2 linked regions of the Stegostoma tigrinum genome follow. The protein of the gene in region 1 purifies or fractionates together with the protein of each later gene. This does not show direct contact. Links are inferred from orthologs where the notes say so. Each region holds a gene or a part of one and is shown on either strand. Other genes may lie near its edges.

Region 1 (7,077 bases):
CCTGCAGCCCAATGTTATCAAGCTTCAAAATCTCCCCTCCCCCTACTGCATCCCAAAACCAGCCCAACTCGTCCCCTCCTCTCACCTCAAGTCGCCCCCCCAATTTCCTCCCAATTTCCAATAACCTTGCCCCGCCCCCTTGACCTCTCTGTCCTCCCTGGACTGACCTATTTACTCCCTACCTCCCCACTTACACTCACCTTTATTGGCTCCATATCCACTTCTTTAACTTGAGTATCTACACTCCACCTATCGTCTCCTCCATACGTCTTCAATCTGCCTCCCCCTCTGGACCTATTTATTTCAGAACCCCCTTCCCCTCCCCCTTTTCTGATGAAGGGTCTAGGCCCGAAACATCAGCCTTCCTGCTGCTCTGATGCTGCTTGGCCTGCTGTGTTCATCCAGCTCTATACCTTGTTATCTTGGATTCTCCAGCATCCGCAGTTCCTATTATCTCTGAGACAGCTTCCCTGCTAGTTTTAAGGGCACTTGGGAGTCTCCACAGTGTTAATGTGGAATAAGAGGGGAAATAATCTCAGGTCATGAACCTCTTTATCTCAAAGCCCTCCATTAACTCTCTCATCATTATCATAATGTAGGAAAGGCAGCAACCAAATTGTACACAGCAAGATCCCACAAATGGCGTGGTAATGACGGGGTAATATGTTTTGGTGATGCTGCTCTTTTTTGAAATAGTATCATGGAATCATTTTCACTCACTTGGTAGATGAGTCCTTGCCATCATGTCTCTCTTGAAAGTGGATACCATATCTGATTACAGAATTTTAAAACCAGCTTTTGGATGAGATTTTGAAGCAAGGGCTTGGCTGCCGCCTCAAATAAACAGCCAGACAGCCCCTATGTGCTGCGTTGAAATGCCAGCCTGAGTTATGTTGCCCAAATTTGGAGAGTGGGCGCAAGCTATTTCCTGGTTTCCTAAAGAGAGAGCTCAGAAGAGCCAGGAGGAGACATGAGAAGTTGGCGGATAGGATCAGGGTAAACCCTAAGGCTTTCTATAGGTATATAAGGAATAAAAGAATGACGAAAGTAAGATTAGAGCCAATCAAGGATAGTAGTGGTAAGTTGTGTGTGGAGTCAAATGAGATAGGGGAAGCGCTAAATGAATATTTTTCAACAGTATTCACTCTAGAAATCGACAATGTTGTTGAGGAGAATACTGAGATACAGGCTACTAGACTAGGTGGGATTGAGGTTCACAACGAAGAGGTATTAGAAATCCTTCAGAAGGTGAAGATAGATAAGTCCCCTGAACCAGATGGGATTTATCCACGGATCCTCTGGGAAGCCAGGGAGGAGATTGCCGAGCCTTTGGCATTGATCTTTAACCCGTCATTGTCTACAGGAACAGTGCCAGACGACTGGAGGATAGCAAATGTGGTTCCCCTGTTCAAGCAGGGGAGTAGAGACAACCCTGGTAATTATAGACCAGTGAGCCTTACCTCAGTTGTTGGTAAAGTGTTGGAAAAGGTTATAAGGGATAGGATTTATAATCCTCTCGAAAAGAATAAATTGATTAGGGATAGTCAGCATGGTTTTGTGAAGGGAAGGTCGTGCCTCACAAACCTTCTTGAGTTCTTTGAGAAGGTGGCCAAACAGGTAGACGAGAGTAAACCGGTTGATAGAGACGAAGGATGCTGTAGGTTGCAGAGAGACATAGATAAGCTGCAGAGCTGGGCTGAGAGGTGGCAAATGGAGTTTAATGCAGACAAGTGTGAGGTGATGCACTTTGGTAGGAGTAACCGGAAGGCAGAGTACTGGGCTAATGGTAAGATTCTTGGTAGTGTAGATGAGCAGACAGATCTCGGTGTCCATGTACACAGATCCTTGAAAGTTGCCACTCAGGTTGACAGGGCTGTTAAGAAGGCATACAGTGTTTTAGCTTTTATAAATAGAGGGATCGAGTTCCGGAACCAAGAGGTTATGGTGAAGCTGTACAAAACTCTGGTGCGGCCGCACTTGGAGTATTGTGTACAGTTCTGGTCACCGCATTATAAGAAGGATGTGGAAGCTTTGGAAAAGGTGCAGAGGAGATTTACTAGGATGTTGCCTGGTATGGAGGGAAGGCCTTACGAGGAAAGGCTGAGGGACTTGTGGCTGTTTTCGTTAGAGAGAAGAAGGTTGAGAGGTGACTTAATTGAAACATATAAAATAATCAGAGGGTTAGATAGGGTGGATAGGGAGAGCCTTTTTCCTAGGATGGTGACGGCGAGCACGAGGGGGCATAGCTTTAAATTGAGGGATGAATGATATAGGACAGATGTCAGAGGTAGTTTCTTTACTCAAAGAGTAGTAAGGGAATGGAACGCTTTGCCTGCAACGGTAGTAGATTCGCCAACTTTAGGTACATTTAAGTCGTCATTGGATAAGCATATGGACGTACATGGAATTGTGTAGTTTAGATGGGCTTGAGATCGGTATGACAGGTTGGCACAACATCGAGGGCCGAAGGGCCTGTACTGTGCCGTTATGTTCTATGTTAACATAACTTCTCTGAAGTGGGTTGCTCTGGAAATGCTTCCCTTAATCTGTCTCAATGAAAGGAACGTTTTAAGAAAGAAGCAAATTTAAGAATGCTGACTAAATGGCAAGGATTTGATGGCTTATTTGCAGTTTACCTTTCTGAAATTAATTCACAGCGCAGAATGATAATCAGTGCTTCAAAGCCTTTCAAAAACTGGCCCGAAAATGGTTAGCTCAGCAGGAGTACCGCAGCACTCAGTACAGCCAGACTGAAGCCTGCATCAGAGAGAATAGATACTCACGGACTCCCTCGATCTTGTCTGCCGTCCTGTTCCAGGACAGTTGTTGAGTTTCCATGATCACCTGCAGTGTTCTCCTCTCGGGTTGAGACTTCTTCAGGCTGAAGACTGTCATCACAGCACCCAACTCCAAGGTCCTTTTCAGCTGACTTTTCTCCGGCTCCGACATAGAATCCAAACCGTCTTTATTCCAGGACATCTTCGCCGCTCTCCTTCCCTCCCACCCTCCCCCTAACCCCCGGACTCTTTTTAGTTTTGTAACAACTCAGACCGATGAAAGGAAACTGGATCGGCGTCCAGCTTCGTCGTCGCTAAAGCACACACAGACGCACGGCAGAGCGCTGCGCTGAATACTTTCAAGCAAATCCCCTCATCTGGAACCTTTTGCAGGGACCAAGAAACGCTACAATGGCTTTTTTTTTAGGATCACTTCGAGCACACGAACAGGGCCAGAAGTTTTTCATGTCTACAAAACAAACATCTTGCATGTTCCGCAATTTGGCTGCATGAGGAAGTTGGCTAAATTTTCTTTGAAAAAAAAACTTGGTCCGGAAACGCCGTTGATGTGATCTATTCAAAACTGTGAAGTTGTCCAAAGGTACGTTAGTTACAAATTGAAGGGAGTCAGATGTGTCAGTTTCATTTACACAGCGCCATCTGGCGCAGACATGAACACCCAGCCCAAAACGTCAGCTTTTGTGCTCCTGAGATGCTGCTTGGCCTGCTGTGTTCATCCAGCCTCACATTTTATTATCTTTGAACACCGAGCGGTCCCTTTCATTCCAAACTCGGCAAACCATCTTCGTCCTGAAAAAAAAGGTGCTATTATCACTTTTCAGTTTTGAGTCTCAATGTGCAAACGTGTAAGCATTGAGAAGCAGACAGATCTAACTGGTGATTAAAACAAAATATTTTAAATGGTCAGGAAAATAATACTACAATAGCGTTTGCAGCTCGAGTAGCCGGATGATTATTACAAATGCTTCTATTCATTCATTGATCTTCCATGCATTTTCCGTTGCAATGTTGGAATCAAAATATTTGTTATAGTAACAGTTACAGATACCATCCAGCGTATTATTAATAGAACCGGTTTCTTTTCTCTAATTTATCTGTTCTCTCTAATCGATTGTCTACTTTTTGCTTCTTCCTACTGTGTTTCTTATATCTGCGCGATTTTTTTCACTCTCTTTTACTCTCCCATTCTTTCTCTCTTCCTCTTTCTATATTAAAAATAGAAAGACACTTCCGTTGAATAAAGCTTTCTTCTGATCTAATAAAGTTGTTTTCACGACAGCTGTGAGCATTATTATAAGTGTGGAGCCGGAAGAACACAGCAGGCCAGGCAGCATCAGAGGAGCAGGAAAGCTGACGTTTCGGGTCGGGACCCTTCTTCAGAAGGATGTTGTCTATAAAAAAACTTCTGAAGAAGGGTCCCGACCCGAGACGTCAGCTTTCCAGCTCCTCTGATGTTGCCTGGCCTGCTGTGCTTCTCCAGCTCCACACTGTGTTATCTCAGACTCCAGCATCGGCAGTTCTTAGTTTCTCTGAGCATAATAAGTTTCTTTCACTGAATATGCACAAATCTATGCACCAATATCACTACAGTCTTGCTCCTAAATCCTCCTTGCCGTCAGTTACTTGATTAGGATTGCAGTTTGCGTCCAACTGGGTTATTAGGGAGTTCATGCTTTGTTTCTCTTTGCTTCCAACATAAATTTCCTGTAGTTGATACAAGCTATGTATGACTCCTCATTGTCACTGATCAAAATGGATTGAACTACGGCTGTACCTTATTGTTATTCCCTTTTAACTATCGCAAATCTGCCCTGTCTCTAAAGGTTAAGAACTTTAGGATTTTGTTTTTTGGGCAAATTTTTCATCTGTCATGTCATTTCCAAGTCTTTAACTTTAATTCAAAGGCTTAACACAAATGCACAATTCCTCTTATAAAGCGATAAAGTAATTCCTTCTCATTTTACATGCCGAAGTATTGAGACCTGGTTGTACTTCTGTGGTATCATTATAGACGACGTACATTGGAAAGCGAGGATACCACTTAAAAACAGTAACAAATGTTAGTTTTAGTGATCCGGAAGCCGATTGAAAATATAGAATTTAATGGGTGAAAGGGTTAACTAAGTTAGCAGGAGAATTCCTGCAGCAAACTTGAAATAAATTTGATCCTGAGTTCTGAGGAAGGGTCACCGGACCTGAAAGGTTAACTCTGTTTTCTCCTCCACAGATGCTGCCAGATCTGCTGAGCTCTTCCAGCAACTTTGTTTTTGTTCCTGATTTACAGCATCCGCAGTTCTTTTGGTTTTTAACTCTGTTTTTTCATTCACAGAAGCTGCCAGACGTGCTGAGCTTTTCCAGTAACTTTGCTTTTGTTCATAAATTTGATGATGTTTGCTAGTCTAGCATGGCTTTGATTTGCTGCATGTAATTATCTGACAGAATAATACAGTAGCATAAAATCATAATTTTTAACAAGCACTGTGAATGTAGTCTTTCGTTAACAATGCACTAAAATAGCTAATCAAGGCTTTTGTTCTATAATTTTATGTGTGAGGGAATATTTTATTAGGCTGTATTTGTACAGGGAGATGGATAAGGAAACAAAACCTGTGGTTAAGGATGATGAGTAGTGAGGTTTGGAAAACAAGTTTAAAGTATGTCTTTTGAAATATGCACTACATTACGGGAGAGGCAGACTTTGGAGTTGATAGGTTTCCAAAGATGAATAGAAACCAGACTGATGGTTAGCGAATGCACAAATTCGAACAATACTTAACTGCTAGAGAAATCTGCTGTGTAACAGGGTAATTGGAATTTACTATTACAAATCTGTTTGAAGGCATACATATAATAACCTTCATGGATTTATCATGTTCCAAAACTCCTTAAAGTCAATGAAACGCTTTTACAAAATACATGTCAGAAACAAATATGTCGGCAACTGCCATTTCCACGACCAACAATGTGATACTGACCAGCTAATTGGTTATTGTGATGTCCTTTGAAAATTAAATATAGTCCAAAGTATAAAGGTTAATTCCTCAGCTGTTTGAAATACCACTTCGCAATCTTTTACACACATCTGAGAGACCAGTTAAGTTCTTGGTTTAACGTCTCATCCAAACAAACAAAAAATCCGACAATGCAGCAATCTCTCAATACTGTACCAGAATGTAAGCCCTGATTTTATGCTCAAGATCTGGGCATTTTTCTTAACAAATTGTTCTTGAAGTTTGAAAAAAAAGATGGACAGCGCCTTAGTATGAATAATATCCCCCATTGTAATTTCTATTAGAAGAGATATTCTCTTTTAGATCTCCTGACACTGCTCAGACATTTCCTGTAGTCATCTGTATCCTATTTTTCTTCACAGCATGCATTCATTTTTGGGAAATGCTTTCTGGGTTGCCTGTGGGGCATATACAAGGTGAGGAAGCATATTTAGCTATAATCTGTGAAAGCAAAACATTGTGCTGAAGATGTTCAAGAAATGCTATCTTGAAGCCAAACCATTGACAATTAAGAGTAAATACTGAAAATGGTCAGCAGGGCTGAGGAGGGAGAAGAGGGGTTAAATTTTCAGTTGAAGATGACTGCCTCTTGGGAACAGGCTGGGGGCCAGAGAGGAGTCACTGGAGACAGGGTGCAGGGAAACTTGGAGGCAAAAGCAGGGAATGAGTTCTGATTAAAACAGATGGATATAGGTTTATCGTAAAAATAAGCATTTTTAATTAATGTTCATCCACCTTCTCTGAGTAATCCAATTTTAAATAACTGGCATTTTACATTTTAAAGAATATGAAACCATTTTCTACTTATGTTGGTTAGTTAGTCAGTTTCCTACTAAATTAAATGAAAAAGCACGTTTGGAGGTTTTTCGAAAATCCCTTTCAGTTTCTTTTCACCCAGCAGTGCAAGCTTAATTTTTAAAGCATTCTAACATACCTGCAAATTGATACAAATTGTGGAAATTCCTAGCTATGATTATTACACCCAGGGCTATTATTCAGCATTGTAGATGAGGTTTACTTCAGATACAATGCTTCTCAACCTAAAAGTCAAAAGACTATGGAAGCTCAAGCTGCACTGCAAACAAATTACACTTAAAATTTTGTGATCTTGTGTGCCAGTAAGGCCAGTTCCAGCTGAATTATAGCTAAGATATCAGTACCAGCATAAGAACATAGGTGCAGGAGTCAGCAATTTGGCAAATGAAGCCTGTTCTACCACTCAGTAAGATCATGACTGATATAACTGTGCACTCAGCTTCACATTTGTG
Region 2 (7,981 bases), on another chromosome or scaffold:
TCTGGCGCGGCCGCACTTGGAGTATTATGTACAGTTCTGGTCACTGCATTATAAGAAGGATGTGGAAGCTTTGGAAAGGGTGCAGAGGAGATTTACTAGGATGTTGCCTGGTATGGAGGGAAGGTCTTATGAGGAAAGGCTGAGGGACTTGAGGCTGTTTTCATTAGAGAGAAGAAGGTTGAGAGATGACTTAATTGAAACATATAAAATAATCAGAGGGTTAGATAGGGTCGATAGGGAGAGCCTTTTTCCTAGGATGGTGACGGCGAGCACGAGGGGGCATAGCTTTAAATTGAGGGGTGAAAGATGTAGGACAGATGTCAGAGGTAGTTTCTTTACTCAGAGAGTAGTAAGGGAATGGAACGCTTTGCCTGCAACGGTAGTAGATTCGCCAACTTTAGGTACATTTAAGTCATCATTGGATAAGCATATGGATGTACGTGGAATAGTGTAGGTTAGATGGGCTTGAGATCGGTATGACAGGTTGGCACAACATCGAGGGCTGAGGGCCTGTACTGTTCTATGTTCTCTGTTCAGTTAAACATGAATAGGTCTCATGACATAATAGTTCCACATGATAGTACAGGTAAACTTTCAAAAGGCCTTCTGGAAATGAGACGAAAGACTCCGTTAGCAATTAAGGTACGTGGATATCAACACACAAATGCAGATTCATTGATGGTAATGCTAATCCTATTGAACTTCAAAATAGGTGGTCATTATTTGTCACTTAAAATGGGTCTGTAATGAGGCCAGGAGCTGAAAGGGCTTGGTTGAATCCAAAATGAATGGCAGTAAGCAGGTTATTGCAGAGCCAATACTGCTTGACAACACTGTTGACACTCCCATCCAACACTTTGATAGGGTGGTAATTGGCTATGTTGGATTTGTCCTGCATTTTGTGGACAGGATATATTTGGATTATTTTCCATACTGATGGGTAGATACCAGTGCTGTAGCTGCACCGAAATACCTAGGGTCCAGTAAACTCAAGAGCACAATTCTTTTGTACTTTGCCAGAATACTGTTAAAGACTATATCCTTTGCAGTATCCAGTAGCTTCAGCCATTTCTTGAGCTTACATGGAGTGCATCAAATTAAAGACTTGTATTTGTGATGCTGAAGACCTCAGGAAGAAGCCAAAATGGATCACCCACTAGGCAATTCTGAGTGAGAATGGCTGTAAATGCCCCAGTTGTGACAGCGCAGTAAATCTCATTCAGCAGAAATGGCTTTAGATTCTTGAGTACTTACTCTGAATTTCCCATTCTTCACTCCTATATTCTCCATGGGAAAAATATTAACTTGACAAAAACACATTTAAGCAGGTCACGAACCCACTTGTTCTGTTAATGGTCATTACCATGGCTATTTAACATAACATTAACATTCTGTTTCGAATCAGAGTGAGGGCAGGCAGGATGATGTCCTGGAAACAACTTGTACATGGATTCCCGTGTCTTCAGCAACCACAGCATTACAAAGCAAGGTCAAAGGAGGATGCTTTTGGTGTTTCTGTCTCTTACTTGGATTTGTTGCCGTGGGACCGGTGGTGGCGGTGGGGGGAGCGGTGGTGGTGAAGTTGGGTGATATTAGTCAAGGACTGAAGAAAGAGGGCAGCCTCTCCAACTAAGCAGATGGTCAAGGAAGTGAACAGTTCAAGGAATCCTCTGCTAAGAGCCCGAGACTTTCAAGGAATTCATCTGAGCAAAAGAGTGTGTCAAAACTCTTCAGATATTTCTGATATTCCCAGCATTTCCCTGCCCAGCATTCCTCAAACCAAATACCTCATCTTGTAAGAGATCACTCGTTCCCATCTGGGTAGCCAACATGCATTCATTTCTGTATCATGTTACACCAAGCTCACACAGTCACAATTCACACAGGTTCATACTTTCTGATCCATACAGTCCATTATTTACAACTCTCTGCTTTCTCTCCTTATAGAGAAGAGAAAAGAAATCCAAGGAGAGGAAGGGTATGGGGATCTTCAGTGATAGTCTCCTTGATGGTTGCTGGTAATACCAGCCTAATTGGTCCACTGGCAGGGAGGATTTGTTCCAAGAGGCTGATGGCAATGATTTGCTTATGAATGCTTGATTCTCAAGTAACTGGTGTTATACAAAGTAAAAAACAACACATTCTAAACCTGTAGACTGTTTAAGGGGTCTCATTTCTTTGGAGTTGGAGCTCCATGTTCAAATCCTCCATAATGTAAAACAAGAAGTGGCTAAGGAGAAGGAAGCTGATGTTGTTCTTGCTATTGCTCATCTTTTTCCATATCAGAGGTCTGATGTAGACTTGCATAAGCTGATCCCATATTCATAGAATCTCAACTGTGTGGAAACAGGCCCTTCAGCCCAACAAGTCCACAGTGACCCTCAGAGCATCCCAACCAGATCCAACCCCGCGATAACCCATCTAATCTACACATCCCTAAACACTACGGGCGATTTAGCATGGCCAATCCACTTAACCTGCACTAATCCACTAACCTGAATCTTGAGACTGTGGGAGGAAACCGACGGAGACATGGGGAGAACGTGTAAACTCTGCACAGAGAGTCGCCCTAGACTGGAATTGACCCTGGGTCCCTGGTGCTGTGAGACAGCAGTGCTAACCACTTGGCCACCACAACATGTGAAACCATATTGCAGTGAAGGTTGACAAGCAAGCAGTGCAAGGTGACAGAAGTATAAGAAAAGTGAACAGATTTCCAAGGATTTATTCAATATGTACCAAGCAACAAGAAAAACTCAGCAAAAGTGTTGTAAGCAGTAGCGTTTCACCTAGGCATGGTTGCAGTTATTCAGTTCGCTGTTTGAAGGCATCTCAGCTTATCAGTTTTACTGAAAAACATTTCCTGCTCCACTCTCATCTGGTGAATTATAAGTGCTCTGCACTCTTTTTTTTCCCCAAACTAAAGGTCAGGGTGAAATGCTTAGTAAATCTCTACTCACCTGCAAACCCACCCAGTCATAGGAGGGATTATTCAATGTTCTGATTCAGATTTTATTGGGTCTTTAACGCTTGGAATTGGCTTTCACTTGTTGCTGCCCTATATTGATTTTGGGGCCTTTGAGATCAGTTTCCTCATGCAGGCAGTCAATGATTTATAGAAAATTTTCAATAGTTTATTGAGTTTGTTCAACAGCGGTTTAGATATGATAATACTATACATCAGTTAAGTAGGCAAAAAAAAAGTACACAGCCTGTGATAACCCACTGTCCCCTTTCCCATCCCCATTTGAATATTAGTTTTCATTGCTTCTAAAGAACAGAACTTTATTTTAGCTTTGAAAACATGCACTAATAGTCGGTTAGTGTGGCACTCAACAAATCTTTTCACCAGTAGAAGACTCATTACTACTACAACACAGTTAGAGGAGGCCTCATGTTACACAGGAAACACCAGATATGGAATGGTGAGTTTATATAGTTTTTTTCTGGGGGGTGCTCAATTTCCAACACCTATGCCTTAATGACCTTTAAGGCAGCCAAAATTGCGCATAGAACAATAAACAGAAGTTTTCAACAAACATCATTACTTACGTATTCACAGCATTTAAATAGAACATAGAACATAGAACATAGAACAGTACAGCACAGAACAGGCCCTACAGCCCACAATGTTGTGCCGACCATTGATCCTCATGTATGCACCCTCAAATTTCTGTGACCATATACATGTCCAGCAGTCTCTTAAATGACCCCAATGACCTTGCTTCCACAACTGCTGCTGGCAACGCATTCCATGCTCTCACAACTCTCTGCGTAAAGAACCTGCCTCTGACATCCCCTCTATACTTTCCACCAACCAGCTTAAAACTATGACCCCTCGTGCTAGCCATTTCTGCCCTGGGAAATAGTCTCTGGCTATCAACTCTATCTATGCCTCTCATTATCTTGTATACCTCAATTAGGTCCCCTCTCCTCCTCCTTTTCTCCAATGAAAAGAGACCGAGCTCAGTCAACCTCTCTTCATAAGATAAGCCCTCCAGTCCAGGCAGCATCCTGGTAAACCTCCTCTGAACCCTCTCCAAAGCATCCACATCTTTCCTATAATAGGGCGCCCAGAACTGGACGCAGTATTCCAAGTGCGGTCTAACCAAAGTTTTATAGAGCTGCAACAAGATCTCACGACTCTTAAACTCAATCCCCCTGTTAATGAAAGCCAAAACACCATATGCTTTCTTAACAACCCTGTCCACTTGGGTGGCCATTTTAAGGGATCTATGTATCTGCACACCAAGATCCCTCTGTTCCTCCACGCTGCCAAGAATCCTATCCTTAATCCTGTACTCAGCTTTCAAATTCGACCTTCCAAAATGCATCACCTCGCATTTATCCAGGTTGAACTCCATCTGCCACCTCTCAGCCCATCTCTGCATCCTGTCAATGTCACGCTGCAGCCTACAACAGCCCTCTACACTGTCAACGACACCTCCGACCTTGGTGTCGTCTGCAAACTTGCTGACCCATCCTTCAATTCCCTCGTCCAAGTCATTAATAAAAATTACAAACAGTAGAGGCCCAAGGACAGAGCCCTGTGGAACTCCACTCACCACTGACTTCCAGGCAGAATAGTTTCCTTCTACTACCACTCGCTGTCTTCTGTTGGCCAGCCAATTCTGTATCCAAGCAGCTAAGTTCCCCTGTATCCCATTCCTCCTGACCTTCTGAATGAGCCTACCATGGGGAACCTTATCAAATGCCTTACTGAAGTCCATATACACCACATCCACAGCTCGACCCTCATCAACTTTTCTAGTCACATCCTCAAAAAACTCGATAAGGTTTGTAAGGCATGACCTACCCCTCACAAAGCCGTGTTGACTGTATTTGATCAAGCCATGCTCTTCCAGATGGTCATAAATCTTATCCCTCAGAATCCTTTCTAACACCTTGCAGACGACAGACGTGAGACTTACCGGTCTATAATTGCCGGGGATTTCCCTATTTCCTTTCTTGAAGAGAGGAATTACATTTGCCTCTCTCCAGTCCTCAGGTACGACTCCAGTGGAGAGCGAGGTTGCAAAGATCTTCGCAAGTGGCGAAGCAATTGCATTTCTCGCTTCCCAAAGCAGCCGAGGACAAATCTGATCCGGGCCTGGCGACTTGTCAATCTTAATGTTTGACAAAATTTTCAGCACATCAGCTTCGTCTATCTCTATCCATTCCAGCATGCACACCTGCTCTTCAAAGGTTTCATTCACTACAAAGTTCGTTTCTTTCGTAAAGACAGAAGCAAAAAACTCATTTAGGGCTTCCCCTACCTCCTCAGGCTCCACACACAAGTTCCCTATGCTATCCCTGATCGGCCCTACTCTTTCTTTGACCATTCTCTTATTCCTCACGTAAGTGTAAAATGCCTTTGCGTTTTCCCGGATTCCTTCTGCCAAGCCTTTCTCGTGCCCCCTCCTGGCTCTCCTCCGACCATTTTTGAGCTCCTTCCTTGCCTGCATGTAATCCTCTCTAGCTGAACTTGACCCTAGCTTCCTCCACCTTATGTAAGCTACCTTCTTCCTTTTGACGAGAAGCTCCACCGCTCTCGTCATCCAAGGTTCCTTAATCTTACCCCTTCTTGCCTGTCTCAGAGGGACATATTTACTCATCACTCCCAACAACTGTTCCTTAAACCGTCTCCACATGTCTATAGTTCCCTTACCATGGAACAACTGCTCCCAGTCCATGCTTCCTAACTCATGTCTAATCGCATCATAGTTTCCTCTTCCCCAATTAAATATCCTCCCATATTGCCTAATCCTCTCCTTCTCCATAGCTATGTAGAATGTGAGGCAGTTATGGTCACTATCACCAAAATGCTCTCCCACCACAAGATCTGATACCTGCCCCGGCTCGTTTCTGAGCACCAAGTCAAGAATGGCCTCTCCCCTCGTCAGCCTGTCAACGTACTGCGTTAGGAAACCCTCCTGAACACACCTTACAAAAACAGCTCCATTCAAATCTTCTGCTCGAAGGAGGTTCCAATCAATATTAGGAAAGTTAAAGTCACCCATTACAACAACCCTACTGCGTGCACACTTTTCCAAAATCTGTCGACCTATGCTTTCTTCAATCTCCCTGCTGCTACTGGGGGACCTGTAGTAAACCCCTAACGAGGTGACTACTCCCTTGCTGTTCCTAATTTCCACCCATACTGACTCAGTAGGCAGATCTTCCTCGACAAAGGAAGCTTCTGTAGCTGTGATACCCTCTCTGATTAGTAGTGCTACACCCCCTCCTCTTTTTCCCCCCTCCCTATTCTTATTAAATGTTCTAAACCCTAAATAGAAAAGACAAACCTGCTTGTTTTTCTGAAGACTTTCATAATCCTGTTAACTACTTTTTATTTCATCAGAAAATATTCACATATTTCTTTGTACCAAGCTCAAATCATCAAGCTATATTTACTTGTCATCAGTGTTCATTTCCTGTTCAACTATTTGCATGTTTTGGACTGTGACATTAGAATTTTTTCAATAAAAGTCTTGCAAGATATTTTATTGAATTCATTCAGAAAACAAAATACACGACATCTACTGCATAACTTATCTTTGCAAATAGCAACCAAGTCAATAAATCCATGCCAGCTATCCAGATTTTTAGGTGTATTTCTAAATGCTCACTACTAGCCTTGATTGTAACTCTGTCTGAGTGGAAACTTGATAAAAGGAAATAAAAGAGAGACTCCTTTCCAAGTACAGCCAGCTTAGTTTTATTGTGTACTCTTTAAATATACAGGTTGAGCTTCAATAATACCATCTGCCATTTTAATTGGAGGCTAAAGCAGAGACAGTAGTGGCCTGCCCACTACTGGGTTGAGAATCAAAAGAGACCCAGAAATGTAAATTTTAACTTTGTATAGGCTTCCTTGTAGACCAGGGAGGGAAAGAATGTTCCTTTGAGTGCCACAAGCGAATCTTTGGGCACCTTCCTCCTGGACAACGTTTCCTTCAATTGTAATCACCTCTGGATATCTGGCACCCATTACGCGCAAAAAAAAAGCCTTCCTTTCAAACATCCTCCACCAATATTTAGAATTCTCATTTGGTAGGCATAGGTCCCACAAAAATCAGCCTGTGTTTTCATGCTATCCTAATTTCAGTTCTAGCCTGTTGGCCCAACCAATGGTTCCAGTTCATTCTCAGGTCGACATTCAAGCTGAAATACAAGAAAAATGCTAAGGAGTCAAATTCTTTATAGTCCTCAGCACACAGATTTTTCATTCATAGCCAGATGACCTGCCAACAAGTAGTGAGGCCATTCTACCTCAAATTGCAGTATTTGAACTGTAGGTAGGTTAGTAGCAAAAAGAATTACAAACTCATCTACTACTTAAGAGACAACACCTGGGCTATTTAAACTCTTTCAGAAGTCACATGACACCAGGTAACAGTCCGACTGATTAATGTGGAATCACACAAGCTTTTGGAGTGCAGCCTCATCAGGTGCACCTGGACTATAACCTGGTATCATATGACTTCTGACTTTGTCCACCCCAGTCCAATACTGGCACCTCCATATCATTTTAACCCCTTGGCTTCATTTAAATCACATCAATTGATTTCTGTTCTGTGACGAATGGAGAGCAGCTGCAAGATCACCAATATTGAGGGCATCCATCAACAAAGTTCACTTTGCTTGCGAGCTGTAGTGGGAAGGACAGCACAGTGGCTCAGTGGTTAGCACTGCTGCCTCACAGTGCCAGTGACCCAGGATTGATTTCACCCTCAGGCAACTGTTTGTGTGGAGTTTCTACCTTCTCCCTTTCTCTGTGCGAGTTTCATCTGGGTGCTCCGGTTTCCTCCCACATTCCAAAGATGTGCAGACTAGGTGGCTTGGCCATGCTGAATTGCCCATAGTGTTCAGGGAAGTGTAGATTAGGAGGATGGTCTGGGTGGGATGCTTTGAGTGTCAGTGTGGATTTGTTGGCTGAAGGGCCTGTTTCCACACTGTTGGGATTCTGTGATCTATGATC

What was found.
Region 2: the proteins of plcg2 (region 1) and lyn purify together in Homo sapiens (affinity purification with western blotting; 3 studies listed by BioGRID, with this or other methods). This does not show direct contact. The link is inferred for Stegostoma tigrinum from reciprocal best matches to the Homo sapiens genes PLCG2 and LYN.

The regions. Positions count from the first base shown.
Region 1 is NC_081369.1:46,215,034-46,222,110, reverse strand, and holds the start of plcg2 (1-phosphatidylinositol 4,5-bisphosphate phosphodiesterase gamma-2), read right to left. Parts: upstream 3,015-7,077; 5' UTR 2,980-3,014; coding exon 2,784-2,979; intron 1-2,783. UniProt on the Homo sapiens protein: The production of the second messenger molecules diacylglycerol (DAG) and inositol 1,4,5-trisphosphate (IP3) is mediated by activated phosphatidylinositol-specific phospholipase C enzymes. It is a crucial enzyme in transmembrane signaling.
Region 2 is NC_081358.1:65,317,775-65,325,755, forward strand, and holds the start of lyn (tyrosine-protein kinase Lyn), read right to left. Parts: upstream 3,016-7,981; 5' UTR 2,981-3,015; coding exon 2,961-2,980; intron 1-2,960. UniProt on the Homo sapiens protein: Non-receptor tyrosine-protein kinase that transmits signals from cell surface receptors and plays an important role in the regulation of innate and adaptive immune responses, hematopoiesis, responses to growth factors and cytokines, integrin signaling, but also responses to DNA damage and genotoxic agents.